Linked DNA regions of Mus musculus. The protein of the gene in region 1 interacts with the protein of each later gene in a biochemical or structural test. Links are inferred from orthologs where the notes say so. Each region holds a gene or a part of one and is shown in the gene's direction. Other genes may lie near its edges.

Region 1 (5,359 bases):
CCGTGTTTCTGCACAGGCTTTGGCTTCCCCCTTGCTTTGTAGAAGGAGGAGGGTGTGGCCCTGCCTTTCTCAGCATGGTGAGCATGCTGAGTTGATGTGAGCATCCTTTCTCACCCACCGTCTCATTCTTTAAATGCTCTTGGGCTGGGTAAGAGAGAGCATTACTCAATAGGGGTGACTTGCCTTACTTGACATCTTTTGGTCACTTGCTCCCACCCCTTTTGCATATATCCTGATCCAACCCTCCCATGCTCCTGGGAGCATGTCTCTCCCTTTTGCACTTGAACAGAGTCAGAGAACTTAGATGACGTGCCCAAAGTCACAGATTGAAAAGGCAGGATTTGAATTTGCCCGGTAAACAAATAGCCTTGATTTCTTGCAGAAGGCATCCATCCATATTCAAAGACCTCATTCTTGAAGGGTGCGCTATATCCTCCCCACCCCAGCTGAAGCCTTGTTGTTAAGTAGCTTTTAAAGAATGCAGCGCTCTCTCTCTCTCTCTCTCTCTCTCTCTCTCTCTCTCTCTCTCTCTCTCTCTCTCTCTCTCTCTCCATATATATATGAACCTCACTGGTAGCCAACTGAATAGCAGAGGTGACTCAGTTTTCTGGAGCCCAGAATAGCCTGGGCTCTGTTCTAAGGTCTGCAACACTCCTAGGAATGGGGCCCCATGGAACCTTGGCCTTACCCTCTTGTGTAAGGATCTGCATATATTCATGACTGGGGAAAATATATATGTATATACATGTATATATGTGTATGTATGTATGTATGTGTGTGTATATATATACATATACATATATACACTCACACACACACATATATACATATACACTCACTCATGCTCAGAACACACATAACCTTAGCTGCTTCACACCTACAACAGTTGACTCAGGCATGATGGAGCAGAGATAGTATGAGTAGTAGTCTGTCCATCCTTCATTTCTGAGGTGTGCATGCCTCGTGCTCCATGAGTTTTCTTTATAAAAAAAAAGGGGGGGTGTTTTTTTTTTATTATAACTCTGTGTGTGTGTGTGTGTGTGTGTGTGTGTGTGTGTGTGTGTGTGTGTGGTGTGGTGTGTAGGAAGGGGTGCACATGCTACCAGTGTGGTCAGAAGACAACTCTGCAGTCAATTCTCCCTTTCACCCTCGAGTGGCTTCTGGACATTGAACCAAGACTGCAGGCTTGCCTGCTGGACCATCTTACCGGCCCACATGTTTAGTCTGTATATGTTGGTGCTTGTCTTGTCTTTGAATCTCCCTCCCAGCAGCAGCAAAGGAGTCATGGACAGTTGGAAGATTCCTTTCTTTTCCCTGTTGGTCGTATGGCCTGTTTGGCATAGGCACTGTCATAGCTAGAATTTGGCTTTGGATAATAAAATGCGACTGTCTTCTTAATTCCCTAGCTCAAACAGCCAATGCCTATTAGCCAAAACCAGGGAGTGCTGCTATGGCCAGGAGAATGGCGGCCCCTCACCTCTACTTTCCTTTCCTTTGGCAGCTTTAATCGCCTTGATTTACCTCCATATGAAACCTTTGAAGATTTACGGGAGAAACTTCTCATGGCTGTGGAAAACGCTCAAGGCTTCGAAGGTGTGGATTAAGGAAGGCTCCAGCGTCCGGGGCACTGCCCTTCCAGCAAGTTCCAAGCGCACTTTTGCATTTGCCGAGCAGACTTTTGCAGAGCCGGTGGCAGAAGCAGTGGCCTGGCCCGGCTCTGGAGCCCAGCTTGTCTGGGCCCTGCCCAAGTTCCGCCAGGGAACCCAGCCCCAGCTCAAGTGCCGCCCCCTCACCGCCAATTCTCAACTGGTTGCCGTGTACACTGATTACATTTCAGGAGGACGTGTTCTATTTATGTTGTGCCTCTGCAGGCAAAGCCCTTAATAAATATTTTGCATACTTTCTAATGACAATGAATGGAATTAATCACGCTACAGGTATAGTATTACAACTCATGTTTACTTTTTAAAATGATTTAGACTGATTTTCAGCTTTTATTTCATTACAATTAAAGATGTCTCATGTACTTGGAAAAGTGAGCATATTTTTTTTTGTATTTGAATTTCATATCAAGCTTAATGTCAGTGACATTTTTTTATTTTTGAAGTACTTTGACACTCCCAGCCTCTACTTTATTAGAATTGGAAGACGAATTTTTCTTCAAAAGCCTTCTACAGACAAATACTTTTGAAAGAACTTCAAATATAACATTAAGCATAATATTTTTTCCATACTCAGAATGAAAATAAACTGGATATTACCTTTTTTTTTTTTTTTGTACAAATTTAAATACTAGGTCCAGGCTGGAAGAATTGTAACATAGCATGATATCTTTGTGTTAACTTGAAAGGACTGACCCCATTGTCCCTTAGAAGTACTGACGTGTGCCATCACGCATTTAAGACAGGATTGGACTGTCATCTCGCATCAGAAACCGTTACAATTTCCTGTTGCTGTACAGCCTCTTCTGAACTCTCTTCTCTCTTTGGTGTTCATAGAGACATTTCCAATGGCATTGCTTGATTCAAAACCAAGGAAACCAGAACCATTGATCTTCTATCTCTGTGATTGCTAAGCAGTAGCCAAATAACCTTCCTTTGCTGTATCTGCGTCCCTTCTGAAGGCACTTTATGGAGGTCACATCTGGTTTTGTTTCCATTTTTTTTTTTTTTTTCACGAATATCACTCGTGGCGATTGCTCCTGCCTCCCTGCACAAGTCTATCCGGTGCGGTATCTATCAGGTGTGAACTTGGCTGCTAGCGTATGAACCCAGATGTGACGCAGAGCCTCTGCAGCGATCTTCTCCAACTGTTCTGTAATCTCTACTCAACAATAAGGTTTTAGTTACTGTATACACTTAACCAAGTTGTGTGACCTATGACCTACTTTGCATGCTCTGATACTGTGTGCCGCCCCCACCCCCACCCCCCAGGTCGTGTCTGTTGTGTGCTAGTTTAAAAGTGACCTAGAAAGCCCAGTAGGAACCACAGAGCTCAAGCTGTCTGGCTCAAGTGGTGGAAGAGTGAGGGAGTCTGCAGTTTGTAAGTCTCGTTCTGTTGTGTTCTGAGAAGATGCCTGAGGCAGTATGGGAGTTTCAACACCCCTGCTGTCCCTTTAACTTGTATTGTCCTAGACCCTGTCCTGGAAGTTAGAGGACGTGGGGTATTTTTTTTTTTGATCTCTTGCCAGTTGTGAATAAGACAGAAAGACTGTGTTCTCTGTTACGTAAGAAGGGTCTTTGGTAGAAGAAATTGCTCGTGTTTACACAGCTGTGGATGCCATGAAGAAGCCGTGGACATTCTTGGTGGGTGAAGCCCTAGACGATGGAATCCTACCAAGCTGAACGTCGGCTTCTATCCATATGCTATCGAGTAATTATAGAAGCAATTAACACTCACTGTTCTTGCCTCTGGTGAGATATTTTTCTCCTGTAGTTAACAGATATTGGGTGGGGGGAGGGGAGATACTTTTTTTTTAATAACCTTCCAAGTCCAGAACCATCTCTGTTATAGAGTGTGCCAAAGCCTGAGCTAAGCAGTGTATTTTAATCGAAGAAGAAACCAAAATCTGTTCTAAGAACTGGGGTTCTATACCTCTGTAGGCCCTTTATTGAACAGCATTATTCACTAGATGCAAAGGGAGCCAGCAAGATGGCTCAGTGAGTCTGGGTGCTTGTCACCTAGCCTGACATTCTGAGTTCAATCCCTGGGACCCGCCTGATAGGAGAGAACTGACTTCTACAAGTTGTCCTCTGACCCAATAGATTTACAAACAAACAAACAAAAGATTAAAAATAAGAAAAGAGGACTTAATTCTGATCTTTTCTAAGCCAAGAGCAGAAAAGACTTCTTAAATCCACTCCAGGGAATACTTGAAAGGCAAGTCATTGTGACTAACACTTCAGTTCATTGGCCCATGATCATTTCAGATTTTAACAGCTGTTACTGTTATTGGAGATCGGAGAGTTGGCCTGTTAGAAATTAAAAAATACAGTACAGCTTGCCGTTCCTCTGGTTTGTGAAGTTTCACTCGTTGCCTAAAATGCCCGATGCCTCGTCTCCAGACCTTGCTGCCCTTGCCTGGTCATCTTTGTACAGTAATTGTAAATGGCAGTGGAGACTATGGTGTTCCTGAGGGGCAATGGCAGGTCACTCTCCCGATCTCCCTACTACCAGCCAGGTGCTGTTTCCTTCTGAGCTGTGGAGATCACACCATCCTGTCGCCCTGCAAATAATTGTGGATCATTTACCTTGAGGCTGCAGAGTGGGTTCCAGGACTCTTACTTCACTGTGGAGGGACTTCGAGCATCAGGTGGCTCTCTCATGTTCCTGCCCCCTTTACTCCATGCCAAACCTGGGATTAGACAGCCTGCTGGCTCCAGAAAAAAGGTCTTGGTAGGCATTAGTCTATCCTAGGTGCCCCCAGTGCACTGTCCTTGTCTGTCTGAAGCACCCATCTCTACCTTCCCTGGCCAGTCCTCTGACGGTTCACAAGGGCCAGAGATATGGACTTTATTTTTGTTCCCAGGACTGATGTAGCTTAGTGGCAAGTGTCTCCCTGGCATGTACTTAGCTGTAGATTTGATCCTCATTGCTGGGACTGGGGACGGGGTGGATTAGAAACAAAAATTCTGTTTCTGAGGACTTTTAGCAAGAGACAGAAAATCCTGCCATTCTGGTTGGAAATTATATAAACCAACATGACAATAACTGTTTCCCCCCAAAAGGCTCAGGAGCTGACTTTTAGAAGTGAGGTTCAAAGTCTTTAACCACTTCTGAATCTCATATGGCCTGTTGCTCTTGGTCTTGCTAGACTCCCGTTTGTTCTAAGAGTCAGGCTTATGTATAGCAGCTTCTAGCTGGTTCTCTATTATCCTGGTAATATTGTTTCTCAGCTCTGAAATTTGAAAGTCTACGAAGAAAGCCTGGGTTCATCAGCTGCCCAGCCCCACCTCTCCACTGAGCGCTCTCTCTCTCTCCATCTCCCTCTCTCCCTCTTTCCCTCTCTCCCTCTCTTCCTCCCTCCCTCTCTCCCTCTCCCCCTCAACAGAAGGAAGGCTATCTGTTGTCATTCTCTTCCTGGCCAGTAGGAGTGCTGCTGTGCAGGGTCACTGCCTGCCCTGCTCCCTCTCTGGCTCCCAGAAGATCACATGCTACCTCTGTCTCATTTACAAATTGGGGTATATCCTAAGTCATGTCAAACTGCCGATTTCAGGACTGGGATGTGTTTTAAAAAAAAAAAAGAAAAAACAAAAACAAAAAACTTAAACTCCACTTTGTACCTTAGATTTTAAAACTGGGTAGAAATGTAATATACATTGGACCACTTTTTTAAGCCTTAATGAACAGTGTATATACA
Region 2 (6,074 bases), on another chromosome or scaffold:
GTTGTCATTCATGGTGGCCTGGGAACTGTACCTGAGACAGAGTCTCACTGTGTAGCCCTGGATCTCCTGGAGTGGCTTTGTTGACCAGGTTGGTCTTGAACCCACAGAGATCCACCTGCCTCTCTGCCTCCCAGTACTGGGATTAAAGGCATACAGCACCATGCCCAGTTCTTTTTAAGTAGTCCTATTCACTGAAGTATTTATTTATTTAAAATTTGTGAAATATTAAAATTATAGTAGATGCTTCCTAAGGAAAGAATTTTCATCTTTTTTGTAGTTAAGGAAAGAAAGGTATAAATATTTAAGGGTTAAGTTTGGTTATATACATTTCAACTTGTTTTATGTAAGAGCTTATGTACATATGATGTGGGTGTGGTGCCTGTGTGAGGGTCACTGGACAGCAATGTGGAATCTGTTCTCTCTTTGAAACTTTATCTCGGGCCTGGGCATGAACTTGGGTCTCCAGGCTTGTCTCACAAGTGTTTTTAATCTACTTAACCATCTCATCGTCCTCAGAATGTGCTAAAAATATATTATAACTCTAGGTTGAAAATTAACTTTGAAGATCTTAGGAAATTGAACATCCAGGTCCAGACGAAAATTTGTGTTTTGTCAGCTAAGATGTAAAGCGATGTAGCTGTTTGAAAAGATTTTCTTTTAAGACAAAGTCTGTCTAAGCAAGATGGTTTTTAAACTGTAAACCAGTTTAAAATAGCCTCTGTCTCCCATGCTCTTGAACATTAATGTCTTGGACTACCAAACTGTGCTTAGATAGCTTTTTAAAGCACTTACTGTGTTTTAAATATTGATTCTGTGCGTGAGCTTATTGTTTTATTTTTTCCACTCTGTTTTTTAGTTTTTTGTTTTTGTTGTTTTTGTTTTTGTTTTTTCAAGACAGGGTTTCTCTGTGTAGCCCTGGCTGTCCTGGAACTCACTCTGTAGACCAGGCTGGCCTCAAACTCAGAAATCCGCCTGCCTCTGCCTCCTGAGTGCTGGGATTAAAGTTGTGTGCCACCACGCCCGTCTTTGGCGCCTGTCTTTGGTGGGAGGGGTCAGGTCTCAGTCAGGTCTCAGTCCTAGTCTTCTGTGTCTACCAAGTGCTAAGTGTGAAAGTTTATATCACTGTGCCCGGCAGTGCCAGCTGTTCTGGAAGCATCATGCCAGGATCCACAATTGCTCTAGCTTCTCTAGAAAACTACATTCATCAATTAGACATTTTCATTCTAATTGTTTTCTTCTCTGCCCTTATATTAGACAGAGCCTTCCTTTATATTAGGGTGAACTAGACCTCCTGCCTACATCTCCCAAGTGCTAGGATTATAGAGCTTGCTACCATGTCTGACTTTCCTAAGATCATTTTAGAGACTAGTGTATAGTGGGTATTTTAATATATAAAATATAGACCTACATTGTGTGTGAACAGCTCTTGCCAATTAGCATATAAAGAGCAGGGTTCTACAAATACTGTCTTTGGTTATTTTCATTGGCCCATTTGCTCAAACACTCCTAACTTTTTTTTTTAAAGACTTATTTATTTATTATTATATGTAAGTACACTATAGCTGTCTTCAGACACACCAGAAGAGGGAGTCAGATCTCATTACGGATGGTTGTGAGCCACCATGTGGTTGCTGGGATTTGAACTCGGGACCTTTGGAAGAGCAGTCGGAGCTCTTAACCACTGATCCATCTCTCCAGCCCCACTCCTAACTTCTTATAGAGCAGGTCTTAGGTGAGGTCCTCAAATGAGCATGAGTAATACAGTCCTGAAGTTCCTGCACTTGGGAGGAAGAGACAGGAGGGTCCTGTTTTTCATCTGTCTTAAGATGACATAGTAGACTCTGTCCCCAAAACCAAGTCCCTAGACCTACTCATGCCACTAGTAAGAGGAAGAATATTTACTGACATTTACTGCATTAACATATGCTGCATCCAGAAAGTTGAGTTCCTTCGTGTTCTCTCTCTCTCTCTCTCCCTCCCCCCCCTCTCACCCGCCCTCCTCCCTCCCTTCTTCCTTCCTTTTTTTCTTTTCTTTTCTTTTCTTTTCTTTTCTTTTCTTTTCTTTTCTTTTCTTTTCCTTTCCCTTTCCCTTTCCCTTTTCTTTTCTCTCTTCTCTTCTCTTCTCTTCTCTTCTCTTCTCTTCTCTTCTCTTCTCTTCTCTTCTCTTCTCTTCTCTTCTCTTCTCTTCTCTTCTCTTCTCTTCTCTTTTCTTTCTTCTTTTTGCCTGAACATCTAGGGTTGTCTCTTGTGTATTATTCAAGGAAACTGAAAATAGTCACTAGGAATTTTTGTTGTTTGATTTTAGGAATTAGGAACTCAACCAGACAAGGCTGGTTTAGAATAACCGTCTGTGTGGTTAAAAAGTGAACTTACTGTGGTTAGAGATAAAGCTATAGTGTAGTGTGCTTGACTTTACAAGGCCCTCACTTAGGATGACAGTCAAATTCCTCTAGAAGAGTTTGCTCTGAGATTTTCTTGAGACAGGATTTCTTTGTGTAGCCCTGTCTGTCCTGGAACTAGCTTTGGAGACCAGGCTGGTCTTGAACTTACAGAGATCCATGTTCCTCTGCCTTCCAGATGTCATGTGCCATCATTGCCCTGTCAACATTCTAAACATTTCAGGATTAGTGAAGCAAACTTTAAACAAATAATTATTTCATAAAGACAAGGGCTTTTGGTATAAATATAATTAGGATCATGACTTAAATTATGAGATTGAATTTTATTCCTAATTGTGTCTGTGTATTGGTGTGGGTATATAGTTTATGTGGGTTCCTCCAGAGGCCAGAAGCAGTAAGTCCCGTGGAGCGGCAGTTTTAGGTCATTTGCCAGCAAGCCAGCAATGGGGGCTGGGACGCAAACACAGGCCCTTTGCAAGAATAGTACACGCATATAATGTGAGCCATCTCTCCAACCTCAAGTGTAATATTTTAAATAGAAAATTGTCCTATTTTGGAATACTATGGATTGATCTTTATCTCCGTGTTTTACTTAGCATGCCATTAAAGAGTTGTAGTGACTTAACTGTGGTTGAGGGCATGGGCTGCTTGCTCTGCAGTGATCCCAGGGGAGTCCTTGGTACCCACTCCATCAGCAGAGGATGGACTGCTTTTATCCTCTCCAAGCACCTGTACTCAAGTTCACTTATGCAGGCATGATTTAGACATTTAAAAGTCTGTTTAAAATTCCAGTTTATTAGTATTGGTAACTTAAATTATCACTTTATAATGAAATATGGGTAAGTGGTTGGAGAACTTGCTTAGTGGTTAAGAGCATGTGTTCTAGCGGGACACTGGTGGCGCACGCCTTTAATCCCAGCACTTGGGAGGCAAAGGCAGGCGGATTTCTGAGTTCGAGGCCAGCCTGGTCTACAGAGTGAGTTCCAGGACAGCCAGGGATATACAGAGAAACTCTGTCTCAGAAAAAAAAAGAAAAAGAAAAAAGAAAAAGAAAGAGCGAGCCTGTGTTCTTAAAGAGTGCTTGACCTCAGTTCCCAGCATCCATACAGTGACTCAGGCATCTCGAACTCCAGTTTTGACCTTCATGGGCACCAGACATTTAGCACCATTCATACATGGAGACAGAAACTCACACATAATATCTAAGAAGAATGTTAATTAAGATAAAGCTTACAAAGTAAGTAAATGGAACAAGCAGAGAAAACAGCAAGGTGAGGGTGAGGTGACTTGAATAATCTTAGAAATTGACTCATTGGAAGAATAGAAAATTGGTAATTGGTACACGTTAGTTAACTATACAATTTTTAGTTCTAGCGTATTTTTGTTTCCATTCAGAAAACAGACTTTGCTTATGTCATTCAAAGTCCTTTTAACGGTGATATTTTCCTAATTTGAAATTTAGGGCAGCAGCAATGACTCTGCGCACGGTATTATTGTCATTGCAAGCGCTGTTGGCGGCTGCAGAACCAGATGACCCCCAAGATGCAGTAGTAGCGAATCAGGTAAGAAAGTAGCTTTTGAAAGACTTTCTTAGACCTGTGTGTGTAGTTTTAAATATTTCATATTAGCATATTAACATTCTATGTTGTACTAAATTTGGAAATGGTTTCTTTTAATAAAATAATTTTGTCACATATAATAAAATCATGTTACAGGCTAGAGAGATAGCTCAGTGGTTAAGACTGCTCTTAACTCTGAACTCTTCCAGAGGTCTTGAGTTCAATTCCCAGCAACCACATGGTGGCTCACAACCATCTATAATGGGACCTGAGGCCCTTTTCAGGGCTGTCTGAAGACAACTGCAGTGTACTCATATAAAATAAATAAATCTTTAAAAATAATAATAAAATCATGTCATAATAAACAAATAACAAATAAAGAATAAACAAATACCTGTTAGGAACTCCATTATCACTTATGTCCAGATATGTACATTGCAGAGGTTCTGTGTGACTTAAGTTCTCCTTGTACACTTAACTCTTTTGTGATATTCTTTGATTTCAAGAGTTTTTAAAATTATAGTCGTGTTTATGTCATTGTGTTCTGTTTTCCTTGCTTCCTCTTTAAGGAAGCATTTATCAGCCAACCTTCAGATTTTTAAAAATGTGCTTATAAAATGGGTTCCCTTTAGCTGAAGAGATGACTCAGCACTTATGGGCATTAGCTGCTCTTCCAAAGGACCCAGGTTCAGTTCTCTATCACCCACATTTTAGCTCATGACAGTCTGTAAGTTCAGTTTCTGGACACCTTCACACAGACGTACATGTAGGCAAAACATGAATGTACATCAAATAAAAATAATTTTTTAAAATGTTCTTTCTTTTTCATAATATTTATTTATTTATTTAAAGTATATGAGTACACTGTAGTTGACTTCAGACACTGGAGAAGAGGGCGTCAGATCACATTGCAGATGGTTGTGAGCCACCATGTGGTTGCTGAGAATTGAACTCAGCACCTCTAGAAAAGCAGTCAGTGCTCCTAACCACTGAGCCATCTCTACAGCCCACCATTGCTTAGAACTACAGCTTTTAATAGTTTGCACATATGTGCTATTAATATTTGGTAGCAGAAGTCTTTCTTGAAGTTTATCTTTGATTTTCCCACAAATTGAGATAAATTGAGACATAAAATAAAGGGTGACTTTTGAAAAAAAATTATTTATTTTATGTACATTGCTTCGATGTATGTCTCTGTGAGGGTGTCAGATCCTGGAGGTACAGGATCATGTGGATGCTGGCAATTGAACCCTGGTCCTGGAGTAGCAGCTGTCCTCTGGTTGCCAAGCCATCTCTTGGCTTCCATAGCTGATTTTTAACACCTAAAATAATGTTTGTGTTGTTCGTTCACAAAGTATTGCTTGAAATATATTAGGTAATCATAGTAATATGGAGTAGCCTTTTAGTTTGGTACTCCATAGGTAGATGTTAGTGGAGCTTTACATTTGAGCCAAGCCTGAACAATGAACAAGATAAAGATAGCTGGTTCTAGGCTAGCCAGGGCTACATATTGAGAACTTTTTTGAGAGAAAGCGATGTCGAAGGGAGAGGAACAATGAATTACCCAGTCCCTGCTCTGGGGCTAGAGAGCTGGGTGGCTCAGGTGAGGGGTAGTTCTTTGTTATCATTCTGAGAACAGAGATTAGGTCCTAGCACCCTCACTGGGCAGCTTCCCACTGTCCTCTGCTTGCCTTTCCTGAGCACTTCCACATGTGTGCATATACACAAGCATACATAAGTTTAAAAGTAGCACTTTGATAAATATTGAAATGAATTGACATCATTACTTTATACTCTGTCTTACAAGTATTTTTACAATGAATTTACCTCACCCTTTTCCGGTTTCATATGGCAAATCTTTATCTAGTAGGGCTCTTTTGTAGGTTTTTAAGTTGTCTTCAAAAGTAATGTAAGTTAGATTGTTTTGAGTGTTGGGTTTACTTTGATGACTATACAGTGCTGCATAGCTCTAAGGGCATCTGCTGCCTCAGCTTGAGGTCTGCCTAGTAGCACAATTGATTGTATATATCAGTCAGTGTTAAATTTATCAGCTAATGTTCATGTAACATTACATGCTACTGATTTTGTTGTGTAATTTTCTGTACAGTTATTAGAA

Evidence for each region.
Region 2: the proteins of Nedd4l (region 1) and Ube2k form a complex in vitro, tested with the Homo sapiens proteins (2 studies listed by BioGRID). The link is inferred for Mus musculus from reciprocal best matches to the Homo sapiens genes NEDD4L and UBE2K.

The regions. Positions count from the first base shown.
Region 1 is NC_000084.6:65,211,283-65,216,641, forward strand, and holds part of Nedd4l (E3 ubiquitin-protein ligase NEDD4-like), read left to right. Parts: intron 1-1,501; coding exon 1,502-1,604; 3' UTR 1,605-5,359. UniProt on the Homo sapiens protein: E3 ubiquitin-protein ligase that mediates the polyubiquitination of lysine and cysteine residues on target proteins and is thereby implicated in the regulation of various signaling pathways including autophagy, innate immunity or DNA repair.
Region 2 is NC_000071.6:65,588,015-65,594,088, forward strand, and holds part of Ube2k (ubiquitin-conjugating enzyme E2 K), read left to right. Parts: intron 1-3,861; coding exon 3,862-3,961; intron 3,962-6,074. UniProt on the Homo sapiens protein: Accepts ubiquitin from the E1 complex and catalyzes its covalent attachment to other proteins. In vitro, in the presence or in the absence of BRCA1-BARD1 E3 ubiquitin-protein ligase complex, catalyzes the synthesis of 'Lys-48'-linked polyubiquitin chains.